2 linked regions of the Nothobranchius furzeri genome follow. The protein of the gene in region 2 interacts with the protein of the main gene of each other region in a biochemical or structural test. Links are inferred from orthologs where the notes say so. Each region holds a gene or a part of one and is shown on either strand. Other genes may lie near its edges.

Region 1 (7,644 bases), on a different chromosome or scaffold from region 2:
TGACCGGGCTGAAATGAAGCTGTGGAACCCCGAGAGCAAAGGTTTTCGCTTATGCAGCGACCGCTTCATATCAGGTACTTAAACCAACGTTTCCTCAACTGTGTATGGTATTTATTTAAAATGCTTTTATTACGATTCTTAGTGGGCTTCCTAAACTTATTTTGGCGTGGCTTTTTCTGTCTTATTACTCATAGCAACAAGTAAACATCACATAAAACGTTGCCTCGTGAGTTCTGCGTGCTGCCGTTTACGTGTTTTATGATCACAGCAACTAACCGGCTATGCTGTATTTCATTTTTAAGCAATGGTTGATCAATTGTCAGATCACACATAAAAAGCACTTTGGATTGCTATTTCTGTCTCACCGAGTCAGATCTCATACAGATCCTAAGACGCTCCTGCCTGACATATTTATTTTATTCACAGAAAAAAATCAGACTAGTTTATACATTCAAACAGCACAGCACTCTATTTAAACTACTTACATTTAAATCTGTTATTTGTCCATCCATCCATCCATTTTCATCCGCTTATCCGGAGTCGGGTTGTGGGGGCAGTACCCTAAGGTGAGAGGCCCAGACTTCCCTCTCCCCAGCCACTTGGGCCAGCTCCTTCGGGGAAATCCCAAGGGGTTCCCTGGCCAGGTCTGCTCCGACAGCTTCTGGCGTTTTTAAAAAGTATCCCAGGGGCACGGTAAGGGTCGAAGATGTTTAGTCTATTTAATTTCTGACTATATAAAACGATTTCTTCGGTTTTAAAGTGTGAAGTAAACTCTGACGGAGTAAAATCCAAGCCGATCCCGTTCATTTTGTTTACCTTTGCTGCCTGCCAACATGGCGTCTACTCTGAGTCACATGACGTCTGGAGCTTTTTAGCCTACAAATCGACAACCATAGCGCTAGCAAAGACTTAGCTCTGCAGTAGGGCTGGACAATATAGAAATAAAGTATATTGATAAAAAAATTTATATTGATCGATAATTATTGAAAAACATTTTTAAAATAGTTTAAAATATTTTACGAGCAGCCCTGGCCATTTTCTCACTGCCTCCTGTTGTTTTGGTTTGAGAGGGGAGGGCCTGGTGACGCAGCGTGCCCCAGTCTGTGGTTTTGATTGGTTAGGAGCAAGTAGTGAGTCTAGCATGCTGCTACGTGATAGGTTATAATGAAAAAAGGAAACTTTTTTTATTGACCCATTTTTATTTTCTATCGCACCACATGTTTATTGATAGATGGATTGAATTACTGAATTATCATGCAGTTCTAATTCTGTGGATCTAAAGAATTATAGCGCTCTCTAGTGGTACATTAACTAAAATCAAATGTTATAAGTTATGACAGAAAACTGTTTAGTTGTTTCACCAAAGTTTGAAACTAAAACTGTGATGTCACAGGGCAGTTTTCACAAGAACCTGAGATGAGTCTGTATGACATCCACGAAGGAGCCGACCCCTTGAAGAAGGAGGCCACGATGGAGGTGAAGGGCAACAAGCTGCTCGTCACCAGGTACTCCATCACACGTCAAAAACAAGATGGTGAAGACTTCCTGCAAGCCTAAATCTGTGTGTGTGTGTGTGTCAGGGGCTGGCAGAAAGACTACAGACGTGACCGAAAGCATGGGTCCAACATCTTCTGCTGGTTCATCCATAACAGCGGAAAGGGATTCATCGACGGACATTACAGCCAATACATCGTTCCAGATCTGAACAGCTTCCTCCAGATGTTTTGAACACACACATCCTTAAAAACCCACAACCATCCACGATGTGTTTCCTAATGATGTCACCTGGGTTTTTCCACAAAGCAGAAAGCAAATTTATTGCATTTATTTGAACAAAATTTACATTTTTAAACAAAATATCAAATTGTTTTTTTTAAAAGAATCAAACAAATTCAACATAATCTTCTAAACCGGTTTGATTTCTGAAGCTAGTTGGTTGTTGAAAGTGTCTTTGTACAAAAGCATCTGGGAATGAACTCTGACACAGTAGAGTCCCTCAGTTCTACGACTCGAGATGTTTCATCTTCAGGCTAGCTTGGAAAAATCTTCATAAGCGACGTCCACTCTCTCTCCTTTCTGATGACCCTGTGAAACAGGAAATAAAAAATCAACCCCAAAAACATCACGTTTGGAGCCAAATGACATCTTTTTGTGAGTCTTTCTATAAATGGTAAATGGCCTGTATTTGATATAGCGCCTTCTAGAGTCCTGGAACCCCCCAAGGTGCTTTACAACACAATCAGTCATTCATCCATTCACACACACATTCACACACTGGTGGGGATGAGCTACGATGTAGCCACAGCTGTCCCGGGGCGCCCTGACAGAGGCGAGGCTGCCGAGGACAGGCGCTACCGGTCCCTCCGACCACCACCAGCAGGCAAGGTGGGTTAAGTGTCTTGCCCAAGGACACAACGACAGCGACAGACTGAGCGGGGCTCGAACCTGCAACCTTCCGATTTCGGGGCTAGCACTTACCTCCTGTGCCACCGTCGCTGTGTTTAGCCTTCTTACAGGTGTACCAAATAAAAAGTACGACTAATTATGTGTTTGTGACCAACTACGGTTAACAGGGAGGCTAGGTTAGCTTGAACGATTCAGATCTGAGTTAAGAGGCTGAAAATCAAATTAATGAACCGATTTTCTGATCGAGAACAAAGATCAAAACCACTTTAAAATTAAACAATGAAATCTGGTGAAACTTGGGCATGAAGCCGTTTTAATGCGTACAGAATCGAGCGTGAGCTTGGCGCTGAATTTCTTCTCGTCGATCCCCTCGAGGACGGCCTCCGTGTCCCGGTACGGACCATTCAGGATCAGAACCTGCTTCCCTGTAGAACGTTTCACGATGGAATCAACAGTTTCACATCCAGTGATTTAGAACGTTTCCTTGGGTTAAAAACATGGCCGACCTGGGGCGGGTATGACCGTCTCCAAGTGGTTCTGGTCCAGCTTGAGCTTGTCGCCGGAGTCGATCATCTTCACCACAGCGGCGTATTTGTCTCGGACCTCCTGCCGCCAGAACAAGTTTAGCAACGAATACTTTTGAAACAACTGGAATAAAGACATCACTTTGTTACCGTGACGACGGCCTTCTTCTTGTGGTACTTCTCTCCCAGCCTCTTGGTGACGACTTTAACTACGATGTTTGGCTGCAGCCAGTAATCGGTTCTGACAGCAGGGGAGTGCTGTCTCTTCCTCTCCTCCATCTGGAAAAAACAAACAAACCACACATCAGAACGTCTGATTACCAAACGGTAAACAAACAAATACACCAAACGCAACCTCAATGATCTCCTCCAGTGCAGATTTCTTCTTCTTCTCTGTTTTGGAGTTGGAGCTGGAGGGTGCATCTTTGCGTTTGACTGAGGATGATGATGATGATGCTTTCAGAGCACTGGCACTCAGAGCAGAGCTAGCAGCAGACACAAAGAGGTAATCAGAGGCAGAACGCTCCCCAGATTTAGTCATGTGGAGGACAACGAGGTGATCCGTACCCTGATTTGGAGGAGCAAGCTACAGGAGCGCTGAGGTTGAAAGCAACTGGAAGGGAAAAGAAGTTTAGTACAAAAACACATTTGTAGCTAAAGCTATGACTGCACAAGAGAAGAGGACCAACCTTTTTCTTCCTCGTTCTCACGTTTGAGCTCAGTGTAAACCGGATCTTCCTGCAGAATATGTAAAAAGAAGCATTACTTTTGTTGAACGCAGCCGAGCTCGGTCTCAGCTTCCTGTTGCACTCACGTCGGTCTCCTTTCCGTCTCGGCCTCGGCGGACCTGCTCCTCGATGAACTTGGCGCTCCGCTCCTCATCGTCCAGCTCTTGTTTCTTCTTCCTGGCCTCCTCCTCCTGGCGCCGGATGGTCTCTGGGTCACGGTCGATGTACTGGATGTACCAGCCTTTAGGGGTCTCGTCCACTTTGCACAAACCTGAGGGTGATTTCCAACAGATCAGCAGAAATTCTTTTCACTATTACAAACCTGACGATCCAAAGGTGCATTTAGTTTCACGATTTGATGTGAAACTTTACAAATTTATTAGTAAGTAGACAAAACCAACTCCTAATCCGACGCTTAAAGTAGCTGCAAATTGATTTAGAGGAAAAATAAATTTTTTTTACAAATGATAAACTGAAAAACTGTTAAATAAAAAGGAGGCTATGATATTCATTTGAAGGATATTCTCCAAATTATAGAAATTATCATGAAAATATGAACTATATTTTTAAAGTTGTCCGTCTGATTTTCAGTTCAGAGAATTTTATTTACAAATCCCAACTTCTTGGTCTCTTTTCCTCATTTCTGCCTGTTTTTACAGCATCTGTAACGGAGACAAAAATCCAGAAAGTGGACAGAGATCCTGTAAAATCCCAGATGCTTTCTGATCAGTGACGTTTTACCTTCTCTGCCGAGCCATTTGGTGAAGTCGGTGAGAGTTTCCCACTGCGTGGAGTTCATGTGGACATGCTCCCGGTGGCTGATGTACTCGTTGTAGACAATGTTGTTGTGAACTCTCTTGGTTCCTGATAACGAAGAGGACAATCAGAACAAAGATGTCCCTGACACATCTGCAGATGGTTCACAATTCTCACCGAAACGCCTTCTGAGCAGCTCCAAGAAGTCACGTTTGAACTCACTGTAAGAGAAGCGACACAAATGTGCTCCATTTTACTAAAAACATTCAGATGTGTTTGTCTTTACATCACGTCTGTGATAAACTGACTCTGAGAAGTAGTCCATGAACTTCATAGGGTTCTCTGAAGCTAGCAGCAGCTGTCTCTGATGGGACTCTGACATGCAGTGGCACTTGAAGCCATTCTGTTAAACAAATAAATAAAAAAGGCAGAAACAAATACTTTAATTCGTCCATTATCGAGAATAACACCATTTTTGTCGAATTTCATCAAAATCCCACCTCATCTCGACACTGTTTCTGACACATCTGACAATACCACCGCAACTTCTGGAGACCTTTAGATTTTATTCGGTTGCTAATGGCCTTCGGCGACAGAAAATCTGCTTTTCCCATGGCGAAAACTAAAACCAAACAACTGCAGCAAAAAACACTCGCTTAAAGGCTAAAAATTCGACAGAACAATCAACTGCTGCTAGTACACAACTGACAAACCGTTTCCGTCTTCTAACCTCGCGAAAAACCGTAGAATCACGCGATACTTGGTGTAACATTCAAGAACTGTTCGTAATTTTTAAATAATATTAATTACGTATATCATTTAAACTCGTTGTAACTGAAATTTGTATGATTAATTAATCGGATTCAATAGACGCCACATTTGAGTCACCAAAAAACAAGCATTTATTAATTCAATTTAAATTAATGTAAACTTTACAGGTTAATCAGTCTGAGACCAAGGATTAATTTCTACTAGACATTCCAAACATTTTTCTAGCATGGCAAGCTATCCTGTATATATGAATTTGGTCTAGTTCACTTGGCTAAACGTTTTCCTGTTTAAAAGGCAAATGACTTTCTATAACTGTTTGTGAAAATGAAATGAACATAGCTTTTTGATAATTATGTTCGCTTTTATTATTGAAGTTATTGAACTTCTCATTGTGCGACACTGGCAACAAAAAAAAAAACACACAAAAACAGTGATTTAAAAAAGGCTTCTTACGGCATTTCCCTTGAATTTTGATGTGAATACAATTTCCAGAGTTCACTGAAGGCAACCTCCGTTACCACCGACTTTTCTTTGCGCCTGCGCAGTTCTGCGTGTCTGACCTTCATAGTGGTAACATGTTCGCCAGGACCAGCGCGTTGGTTTTTTCCCCACAATGGTAACGCAAATATACCTCGACAACTGCTCTTGTTGCGCTTTTATTAATGAATTCATTGATTTGGCTTGTTTGAAGTGAGTGGGCAGCTTCTACGTTGTAACGCGGGCAATCTTTTGCGTGGAAGGACGTGCTAGCATGTAGGCCGCGGCTGATGAATGACGGCGGTGCGAATGGATTTCCATAGCCGGCTAGGTGCTAATGCTAGCATAGCTGCCTGTTTAATGTTAAATCGTGTTTAATTAACAGCAGTTAGCATCGGGTCATAACCCTAGACTTGTTAATGACCTTTTACCATGTTGTTAACCCGTCAGCGTCTGCTCACATGCATTATTGTTGTTTACAGTGGGCAGGTCAGGAACATGGCTACCTTGAAGGACAGTAAGTACTGATGAATACTTCACACTCACATCATATTGTTGTTTAAATTAAGACTGTAACCTGAGCAGAATCTAAGGTGTGTTTGTACAACACAGGTTTTAATAGGTTTTATCAAAATAGTGGGTTCAAGTCGAGTTAGTAAGACGTTCACACTTGATTTTATGCATATTGGGAGCTCAGATTAGTATATTTACAAAGGATTTAAAAAAAGAATTAAACATAAATGTGTCAAATATTAATTTTAGGGGTTCTATGATTTATGATACAGCTCCTTTTTATTTTTACATGCATAAATCAGTGTATATTAATGTGAATATAAATTATGGGATATTTTATTTTTATTACACTACAATTAATGCAGATGTCAATTAAAATGCACGGGCCTATCAAGGAACAGAACTAAATCAAAAGTCGTTTTCACATGCAGGAATTATTTAAGAATGCACGCAGGCATCAACTGATTTTCCACATTAGCAAAAGCTGGTCAGATACGGCTGCTATAAAAGCAGAGAAGAGCTGCTACCAGAACCTGCCGGTCCAGTCACGGAGTGAGTGTGCAAAACAAGGTTCTCCCATCAGGATTGAGTTTGGAGAAATTCTTAGACCCTATGCTGTAGAATCATAATAAAAATAATGGAGGTATGTTGTAGGGCTGCAACTAACGATTATTTTCATAATCGATTAATCTGTCGATTATTTTTTCGATTAATCGATTAATCGGTTTGTTATTGTTAAGCTATTTAACCTATACAAGTGATGAATACATTTCAGTTAAGAAAAAGAAAAACATAAGAGAATTGTGCAGTTGACTGCAATCTATTTTATTGCACATGACCACAGTCAGCAGTGTAAAATGAGCTAAACAGTGCAAAATATCAGTCCAGAATAATTTTTTGGCATCAAAATATAAGAGGTAAATTCCATAAAAAATAATGTAGAATCTGGAATAGAGTTTGTAAGTGGTATGCATTGCTGGGGGTGAGTGTCTTGTTCCCCATGTAGTTGTCCATCGTTGCTTGTTTTTTTTCTGCATAAGAAACACAAATAAACTGAATTAAGTACACATATAAAATAAAGCAGCACACACACTACAACACTAAATCAATATTACATTATTTGAATTAATTAACAATATACAGTGATCATTTATTTTGACAAAAATGTGTTGTGAGGCGTTTTACAGCGTTAGATAGTAAAACAGCCTTTTAATAGTTAAAAAAAGGACTTTCTGAATTTCTCCTGTATTTAAAAATTGAAAGCGTACAACTATGCCGCGTTATATTCACCTGGACACAGCTCGTCTGTATATTTTTCTCCGCGGAGTTGTCCTTTTTTGAATGAGGAACACAGTTATGGGTTTGTGCCGTTTTTCTCTTAACGAGAACATTCTTATAAACAGACGTGCTAAATTTGGCAAGCGCATGATTCACAACACGGAGGAGATTCACGATTGCATCTAGTCAAT
Region 2 (7,592 bases):
ACCATTCTTCTCTTCTGTTTATCTGAGATTTTTCTTAACTTGAACTTTGCCTGTGGTCTTCGGCCGACTGGGGGGTTGTCAGTTTTTCCCATTTCAAAAAAGCTGTTGACAATCAGTAAGCCTGTGAGGTTGCTGAGTCTTTACTGAGCTAATGCTGCAGCACCTGCATTTGTGATTTAACACCAGCAGGCAAAAGCTCCAGAGTTGTTTAAAGAACCAAAACATGAAATCCAGAAGTTCTTTCTTGTACTCCTAAGAATCCACAACATCTTTCTGTTTTACTCTAATATCGGGGGAGAAGACTAGAGGCTAATGTTGGGCTAAAAATGCTAACGATGAATTAGGAGCAAGTAGGCCGTTCTAAAAATAGCTCAAGCTACTTTTTCAATTACAATACAATGGTCACAATGGCATACAATTACAATAACAACTGAATATTACAGTGAAATGTATGTGTGAAGTGAATAATAAATCAGTTGTGGCGTTTTACTTTCTTTAAGAGTCCCTCAGCAGCAAACAACGCTTCAACATTTCTGAGTTTCACATGATGTTGCATCTACGTCACTAAATGCAGATGGGGGTCAAGAAGCAGCCGGCGCTGCACAGAACGCAACTTACTTTGTTGACTGGGTATTAAACTTCCGCAATTCTAGCGGTCTACGGTTATTACAGTCACTTTAATCCGGACAAAGCCACCCGCACTTGTATATGTTATGTTCTGTGTCCCTTTGTTCCCCAGCCCCTCCAGTTCCCACTCCAGGTTCTCCTTTTGTTTCATAGCGCCCTCCTGTGTCCTTTGTCTGCATCTCATTTATGTGTCTCTTTGTGTTCCTCATTTGTCCCCTGGTCTTCAGCCTTCCAAATATATCTCTCAGGTCCTGTGTTCCTTTAAGTCTTCTCCAGTCATCCCTCTGCAGTGTTTATAGTTTCAGCTTTTCATTTTATTAGTCTCTTTTATATGTTTTGTCCCACCAGTCTTTGTAGTTCTCCTTCCCTTTAGAATATTAGTTATGTGGTTGCTTTTCTTGTTTTTAGGTTTTTTCTTAGGTCATATGAGTTCCCTCCCTGATTAAGTATTGCTTTCACCTGGTCCTCTCCCCACACACCTGCAGCTCATCTGCTTCCCATCATGCCCCAGTTTATTTAAGCCCGGTCTTGTCTCAGTGTCTTGTCGGTCCATTGTTGTTTGTCAGCGGTGTTTTGGTGATTCTTGTCAGTCTTGTCTCATACCTGTTCCTAGCTTCCAGTGTTTCTAGTTCTCTAGTGTTTTTGATGACTCAGTTTAGATTTTTGGATTTTTTGGTTTTTGGCTCCCTGCCTTTGGACTACTACCTTAATAAAGGATTTTTACTTTATCCTCCACCTCTGCCTCGTTCATCTGGTATCTGCATCTTGGGTCCTAAATCATCCTCCTACACCAACTCGTGACAGTATAGGGCCTTTGAAGTCAGAGTATCATTCATCAATTTACACACTGATGGTGATGAGTTACAAAGTAGCCTCAGCTGCCCTGAGGCACACCTACAGAGACAGAGCACAGGCACCACCGGTCCCTCCGACCACCATCAGCTGGCAAGGTGGGTTAAGTGTCTTGCCCAAGGACACGACAGCGGTATTCTCTGTCCGGAACCCGGATTGAATCTGCTACCTTCCGATTACTGGACAACCCGCTCTACCTCAACTTGGCTTCAATTTATATAGCGCCTCACAGACGAGGGCATGCCACCAAGGTGCTTTACAAAACAATATCGATTAAAAACATTCAAAAAACAACTGAGCTAAAAACAAGCTAAAACAAGATAGAAACCAAGAATAAAACAAGGTCAGATTACGTAAAGGAATAAGACTAGTGAAAAGCCAGATCATAGAAATGAGTCTTCAGTCTTGCTTTGAAAACCACCACAGAAGTAGAGGCCCTAACTTTTAGTGGAAGGGCATTCCAGAGCTTCAGTCAAGCCACGCAGAAAGCCCCATCTCCCCTCGTCTTCAGACATGACCTTGGGATGGAGCAACAAGTTATTCTCCGAGCAAAGCGACCAAGTTGGGGCGGCAGAAGTGGATCAGTAATCAACGGCTTAAAACAGGAGCTGAAACAGACAATACTGGAGTTTACCGCAATCCCTTTTAATTAGGTAACAGATTACGGAGTGTTTATTAAACAGTTGCTTAGAAACAGCCATAAAAACTAGGGATGCTCTAGCCTGGCAAGCCAGACTAAATAAATGTATTATTTAGTCTGGCCACGCTCCATTGACGGCTCTCTGTTGTGGGGCGGGTTCTACCGTTGTCTTTCAAATGATCTCCGCATTCCACTGGACAATGAATGTGACGTACTCTTGTTTCACTCTGTTGCATCATCCCACCCACCAGGCATATAGAGTGCCCTGATTGGCCCACAAAGCGGATAAAGCTCTGTGATTTGTTCACTAAGCAGATAGAGCATTATGATTGGCCCACCATTATGGACCAATCACAGCTCTTTATGTGTTTGAAACCCCTCTAGATAGCTGTGATTGGCTAGCCAGAGTCCTGGTAGGAGCTGCAGAGGTTCCAATGGAGCATGCCTAGACCAAACTTTGCAAAGCAAGAATTTGGTCTAGTTCACTAGGCTAGGGATGCTCCAATCTGATTTCCGATTGGAAATCGGACCCGATCACGTTTTTGATTGGAAGGATCAGAATCGGGAGAAAAAAAATCGGATTTAACCTTTTAAAACAAACAGCAAACATGACTTTTTAAATTCATCCTGAGATTTTCAAATTGAATAAAAATGGCTTTGTTTAAATCTCAATAAGTCCCTCTACATTAATAATATTTGTTTCTTGTATGAAAACAACACAGTAACGTCACACAATTAATGGCAGGCAAGGACTCAGACACCAAGTGCCGCTGTTAGCAAACCTGCTAACACAGAGCTAACGCGTCTCCTCAGGAGAGCTAAAATATCTGCACCTTGGTGGTATTTTAAACCGGACAGCAAAGGCACAGCTACAAACACCTGTAATGTGTGCAACTGAGCATTCAACATGTTGGACACAGCTCCATCATTCGCTGCCTTCAAACAAGCTACTTTTGGCTTTTCCCTTCGGGCATCAAAAAAGCAAATCACCGGTCTCCATGAACCCCCAGTGTACCTCCAGCAGTCACAGTGAAGTCAGACAAAAACACAGAGCCAGCCAAAAGAGAAAGCTGCACTAATGAACAAACAGAAATTGTCAAAAGACTGCAAAACATGGAGGTTCTAGTTCTCCTTCGCTGGAGCTACCGGTGTTGTGCAGAGAAAAGCTACCCTGACTGCCGAAGGCTCCGCCTGCCCGCTCCATCATGTGAACACGGCTCACAGCTGCATACTGAGGGAGTAAACAACTTGAAATAAGAGCAACGCTGCTACTTTTAAGTATATTCACAATATAAACAAGTTTTTAATTGTGTACTTCCTAAATAAATTAAAGTGAAACTTAAAGGACAATTTGGATGGGTTGTCTTCTTATATTAATGCTTTTTCTGTGTATGACTCATCTTTGTTTATCATCTAGAATCTTTTGGCACTGATCTGTAACTGGATACAGCCTTGAAACTCATGTGCAGTGAAAAGGTCTCGTTTTATTTATAAAAATGGACTGCAGTACCCACATGTGACCACGGGACGTCATTCTTACTTCCTTCTTGTATAATGCACCTTAAACACCTTTGGGTAACCTCCTTTGGTAGAAAGACAACCAGTCTGGTGAATCCCAGTGACTCAAACCTTGGATCAGGTGCTGGTTGTCCAAAGCTCAGGCTGAAGGTTTAGAGAAAAGAGATTCTTCAGGGAAGATGACGTTTGAAGTGTGCTTTTTCTGACCATATTTTAAATGGTTTTAGAACCTAAACAAACTACCATCATAAAGAACTGTAGCAGTAACATGTAAAACACTTGGGTTTATCTTAAACCCTTCAGATTGTGTAACACATCTTTGGGAAATGTATTAAAATAAAGTTGTAAGGAACTGAGGCAGACTCATGATGGGAAAACAGAGTCTGTTAGGACAGGTGTTGTGCCGAAAAGAGCATGCCTGCCCAGATGTGCACCCCCTGTTGTAAGTTGTTTATTGAACACCGTTCTGTGTGAAGAAAAATACACGCTGTGCAGAAACATGCTTGTGTCCAAGTTAACCACTATAAATAGAGATGTTTGGACCCGGTTCATTTTATCACGCCAACTGTAGGCTCCGCCCCCCCGCTGCTCACATCGTCAGTTAGCTCCTAGCTAACGCCGCTAATCTTTCCGTCTGCGTGTATAAACCACACACACATAAACGTGTTTATTGTACTGGTGAGCATCAAACCACACAAGGTTAAATGAGTAACATCAACACCAGGGGACATGGGGACTCACCAACGATGGTAGGGCTCATACAAGACAACATAATGCTGCGTTTGCCGTTCCTCGATAATAGGAAGTTCGTCGAATTAAGTGAGTTGATTTGTGTAGATAGGTGACACGAGAGCGCAGAAAGCACAAAACACACTATTAATTCAATTTATTTATTTAATATGCTATCGGAGCATAGCTTATAAACCCTATGTGATGTATGAATACGACTGCGCCTTTTTTTATATGTCTCTAGTTAGAACGAAGTTGAAAAATCTTGTAGCTTCTGGTTGGTCCAAACGCAGCACAGTTCTTCGTTTCTGTCTCAGAGTAGAACAGGAGCCGCAGTGGCGTGTTGCTGCCACATGCTGTCCGTGGCTGGGTAGAGCGAGGTCTGCGCCTCTGGATGCAACTCTGGATGGATGGATGGATGGAACAGTTTAGTACACTCATGAAGCCAATCCATTCTCCTGCTGGAAGCATTTTTTAAGTTCTAAAAATTTGTTTTAATAAATAAATTTGAAACTGCTAATTATAGTAAATCATTGTATTTAATGTTTACTACTTAACATATATTGCAACACAATTTATTTATCATTCAAAGTTCGCTTTCTCATTGGATATGGATGAGGAAGGAAAATGGGTGATCCGAGGCACTCTGAGAAGTGTTTTTAATTGAGCATGAAAATGCTGATGTGTTTGGGTCACATACGACCTTCTTCAGGGCATTAACAGGATGTCGGCTTTTTCTTGCTCTAATAAACACGCTCCTCAGAGTGCCTCGGATCACCCATTTTTCTGATTTCATTAGATTCTGAAGAGTACCTGGAATATATATACTCTCTGTGTGTGTGTGTGTAAGCGCGCGTATGTATTCCCCACAGGTGCGCTCACTTCCACCTATTTTTAAAGTTCACTTTTTCTTTCACCAAAATTTCTCACTTTCCAACAGCAACAATAGCAGTCAAATAAAAGATAAAATATTAATTGGAATTTGTTGCAGAAAATAATATTTTATAAATTTTCCAATTTCTGTGTTTTTCCTTCCAGAATTCACCAATCAGATTCAAAGCATAATAAGATGAAACCCTGTTTCCTCATCTGTAGCAGCAGCAGCAGTAGTAGTAGTAGTAGTAGTAGTGGTAGTAGTAGTAGCAGTGGTAGTAGCAGTAGTAGTAGTAGTAGTAGCAGCAGCAGCAGCAGCAGTAATAGTAGTAGTAGTAGTAGTAGCAGTAGTAGTAGTAATAGTAGTAATAGTAGTAGTAGTGGTAGTAGTGGTAATAGTAGTAGTAGCAGTAGCAGTAGTAGTAGTAGTAGTAGTATTAGTTGTTGTTGTACCAGCGGGTTGTCCAGTAACTGAAAGGTTGCGGGTTAGATCCCGGCTCCCACCAGGGATTGCTGCTGTTATGTCCTTACCTGACGGACCGGTGGCACCAGTGCTTGGCAGCCTCGCCCCCGTCTGTGCACCCAGGGCAGCTGTATCTACATCGTAGCTCATCATCACCAGTGTGTGGATGGGTGAATGACTGATTGTGCTGTGAAGTGCTTTGGGGGGTTGCCAAACCCTAAGAAGGCGCTATACAAATACAGGCCCTTTAGTAGAAGTATTGCTGACAATCTACACAAACATTATTATTTATTTACCCTTAATTGAACCATATGTAATGTGTTTAATTTTCAGATGACCCTATCTCTAAGGGAGAGCCCAGCCACCCTGCAGAGAAAACTCATTTCAGCCGCTTGCATCTGCGATCTCGTTCTTTCGGTCACTACCCAAAGCTCATGACCATAGGTGAGGGTAGGAACATAGATCGACCGGTAAATTGAGAGCTTCGCCGTCCAACTCGGCTCTCTCTTCACCACGACAGACCGGTACAACGCCCGCATCACTGCAGACGCAGCACCCACCTGGAGAAGGCATTCTACCCTTTTCTGATTCAAGACCGTGGTCTCAGATTTAGAGGAGCTGATTCTCATCCCAGCCACTTCACACTGCTGCGAACCGTTCCAGCGAAAGCTGGAGATCCTGTTCTGATGAAGCCAACAGGACCACATCATCTGCAAAAAGCAGAGACCCGATTCTTAGGCCACCAAAACAGATCCCTTCAACACTTTGGCTGCACCTCCATAAAAGTTATGAACCAAATTGATAACAAAGGTCAGCCTTGGTGGAGTCCAACTCTCACCGGGAATGAGCCCAGATTACTGCCAGCAATGCGGACCAAGCTTTGACATCGGTCATACTGGGACCTAACAGCCCGTATCAGAGGGCCTGGTACCCCATATATCACAGGGCCCCCCGAGGGACGTGGTCGAACGCCTTCTCCAAATCCACAAAACACATGTAGATTGGTTGCGCAAACTGCCACGCACCCTCCAGGACCCCCTAAGGGTATAGAGCTGGTCCAGTGTTCCACGGCCAGGACGAAAAACACATTGGTCCTCTTGAATACGAGGTTCAACAATCCGATGGACCCTCCTCTCCAGAACCCCTGAATAGACCTTTCCGGTGAGACTCAGGAGTGTGATCCCCTGTAGTTGGAACCCACTCCGCAGTCCCCCTTTTTAAATAGGGGGACCACCACGCCGGTCGGCCAGTCCAGTGGAACTGCCCCAGATGTCCACGCAATACTGCAGAGCTGTTCCGGGAGTCTTGCTCCATGGTCTCACTGAACTCCTCCCATGCCCGGGTTTTTGCATTTGCGACCACCTGAGCTACATTCCGCTTGGCGTGATAACCATCAGCTGCCTCTGGAGTCCTACAGGCTAAAAGACCTGATAGGACTCTTCCTTCAGCTTAACAACATCCCTAACCTCCAGTATCCACCAGCGGGTTCGGGGTTAGCCGCCATGATAGGAACCGATGACCCTGTGGCCACAGCTACAGTCAGCCGCCTTAACAATGGAGTCACGGAACATGGTCCACTCGGACTCAATGTCTCGCGCCTCCCCTGGCACATGTTCGAATTTCTGTCGCTGGTGAGAATTGGAGCTAAGCAGATCCTCACAACAAGTTTGGGTCTGCCAGGTCTGACCGGCATCCTCCCCCACCATCGAAGCCAACTCACCACCAGGTAGGGGTCAGATGACAGCTCCGCTTCAAGAGCACATATGGTTTTATGTTTTATGCTTAAACTTGGTGTTCATTATGGACGAGCTCTGATTCAGATCAGGGGGACCATTCTTCACAACCACACCTCTCTGGGTCTCACTATCGCTGCACACATGAGCATTTAAG

What was found. The genes of interacting proteins can lie anywhere in the genome.
Region 1: of the proteins of mettl22 (region 2) and kin, one has a biochemical effect on the other in vitro, tested with the Homo sapiens proteins (2 studies listed by BioGRID). The link is inferred for Nothobranchius furzeri from reciprocal best matches to the Homo sapiens genes METTL22 and KIN.

The regions. Positions count from the first base shown.
Region 1 is NC_091741.1:35,926,662-35,934,305, forward strand, and holds kin (DNA/RNA-binding protein KIN17), read right to left. Parts: upstream 5,160-7,644; 5' UTR 5,029-5,159; coding exon 4,915-5,028; intron 4,818-4,914; coding exon 4,723-4,817; intron 4,636-4,722; coding exon 4,592-4,635; intron 4,523-4,591; coding exon 4,400-4,522; intron 3,930-4,399; coding exon 3,745-3,929; intron 3,669-3,744; coding exon 3,620-3,668; intron 3,544-3,619; coding exon 3,498-3,543; intron 3,416-3,497; coding exon 3,286-3,415; intron 3,210-3,285; coding exon 3,081-3,209; intron 3,013-3,080; coding exon 2,913-3,012; intron 2,832-2,912; coding exon 2,731-2,831; intron 2,126-2,730; exon of another isoform or gene 2,086-2,125; coding exon 2,026-2,085; 3' UTR 1,791-2,025; downstream 1-1,790. Other genes in the region: itih2 (inter-alpha-trypsin inhibitor heavy chain H2), read left to right, coding at 1,394-1,505, 1,581-1,728; atp5f1c (ATP synthase subunit gamma, mitochondrial), read left to right, coding at 5,761-5,801, 6,145-6,179. UniProt on the Homo sapiens protein: Involved in DNA replication and the cellular response to DNA damage. May participate in DNA replication factories and create a bridge between DNA replication and repair mediated by high molecular weight complexes.
Region 2 is NC_091758.1:12,613,812-12,621,403, reverse strand, and holds the start of mettl22 (methyltransferase-like protein 22), read right to left. Parts: upstream 4,486-7,592; 5' UTR 4,379-4,485; intron 3,782-4,378; 5' UTR 3,680-3,781; exon of another isoform or gene 3,634-3,679; intron 1-3,633. UniProt on the Homo sapiens protein: Protein N-lysine methyltransferase. Trimethylates KIN at Lys-135 (in vitro).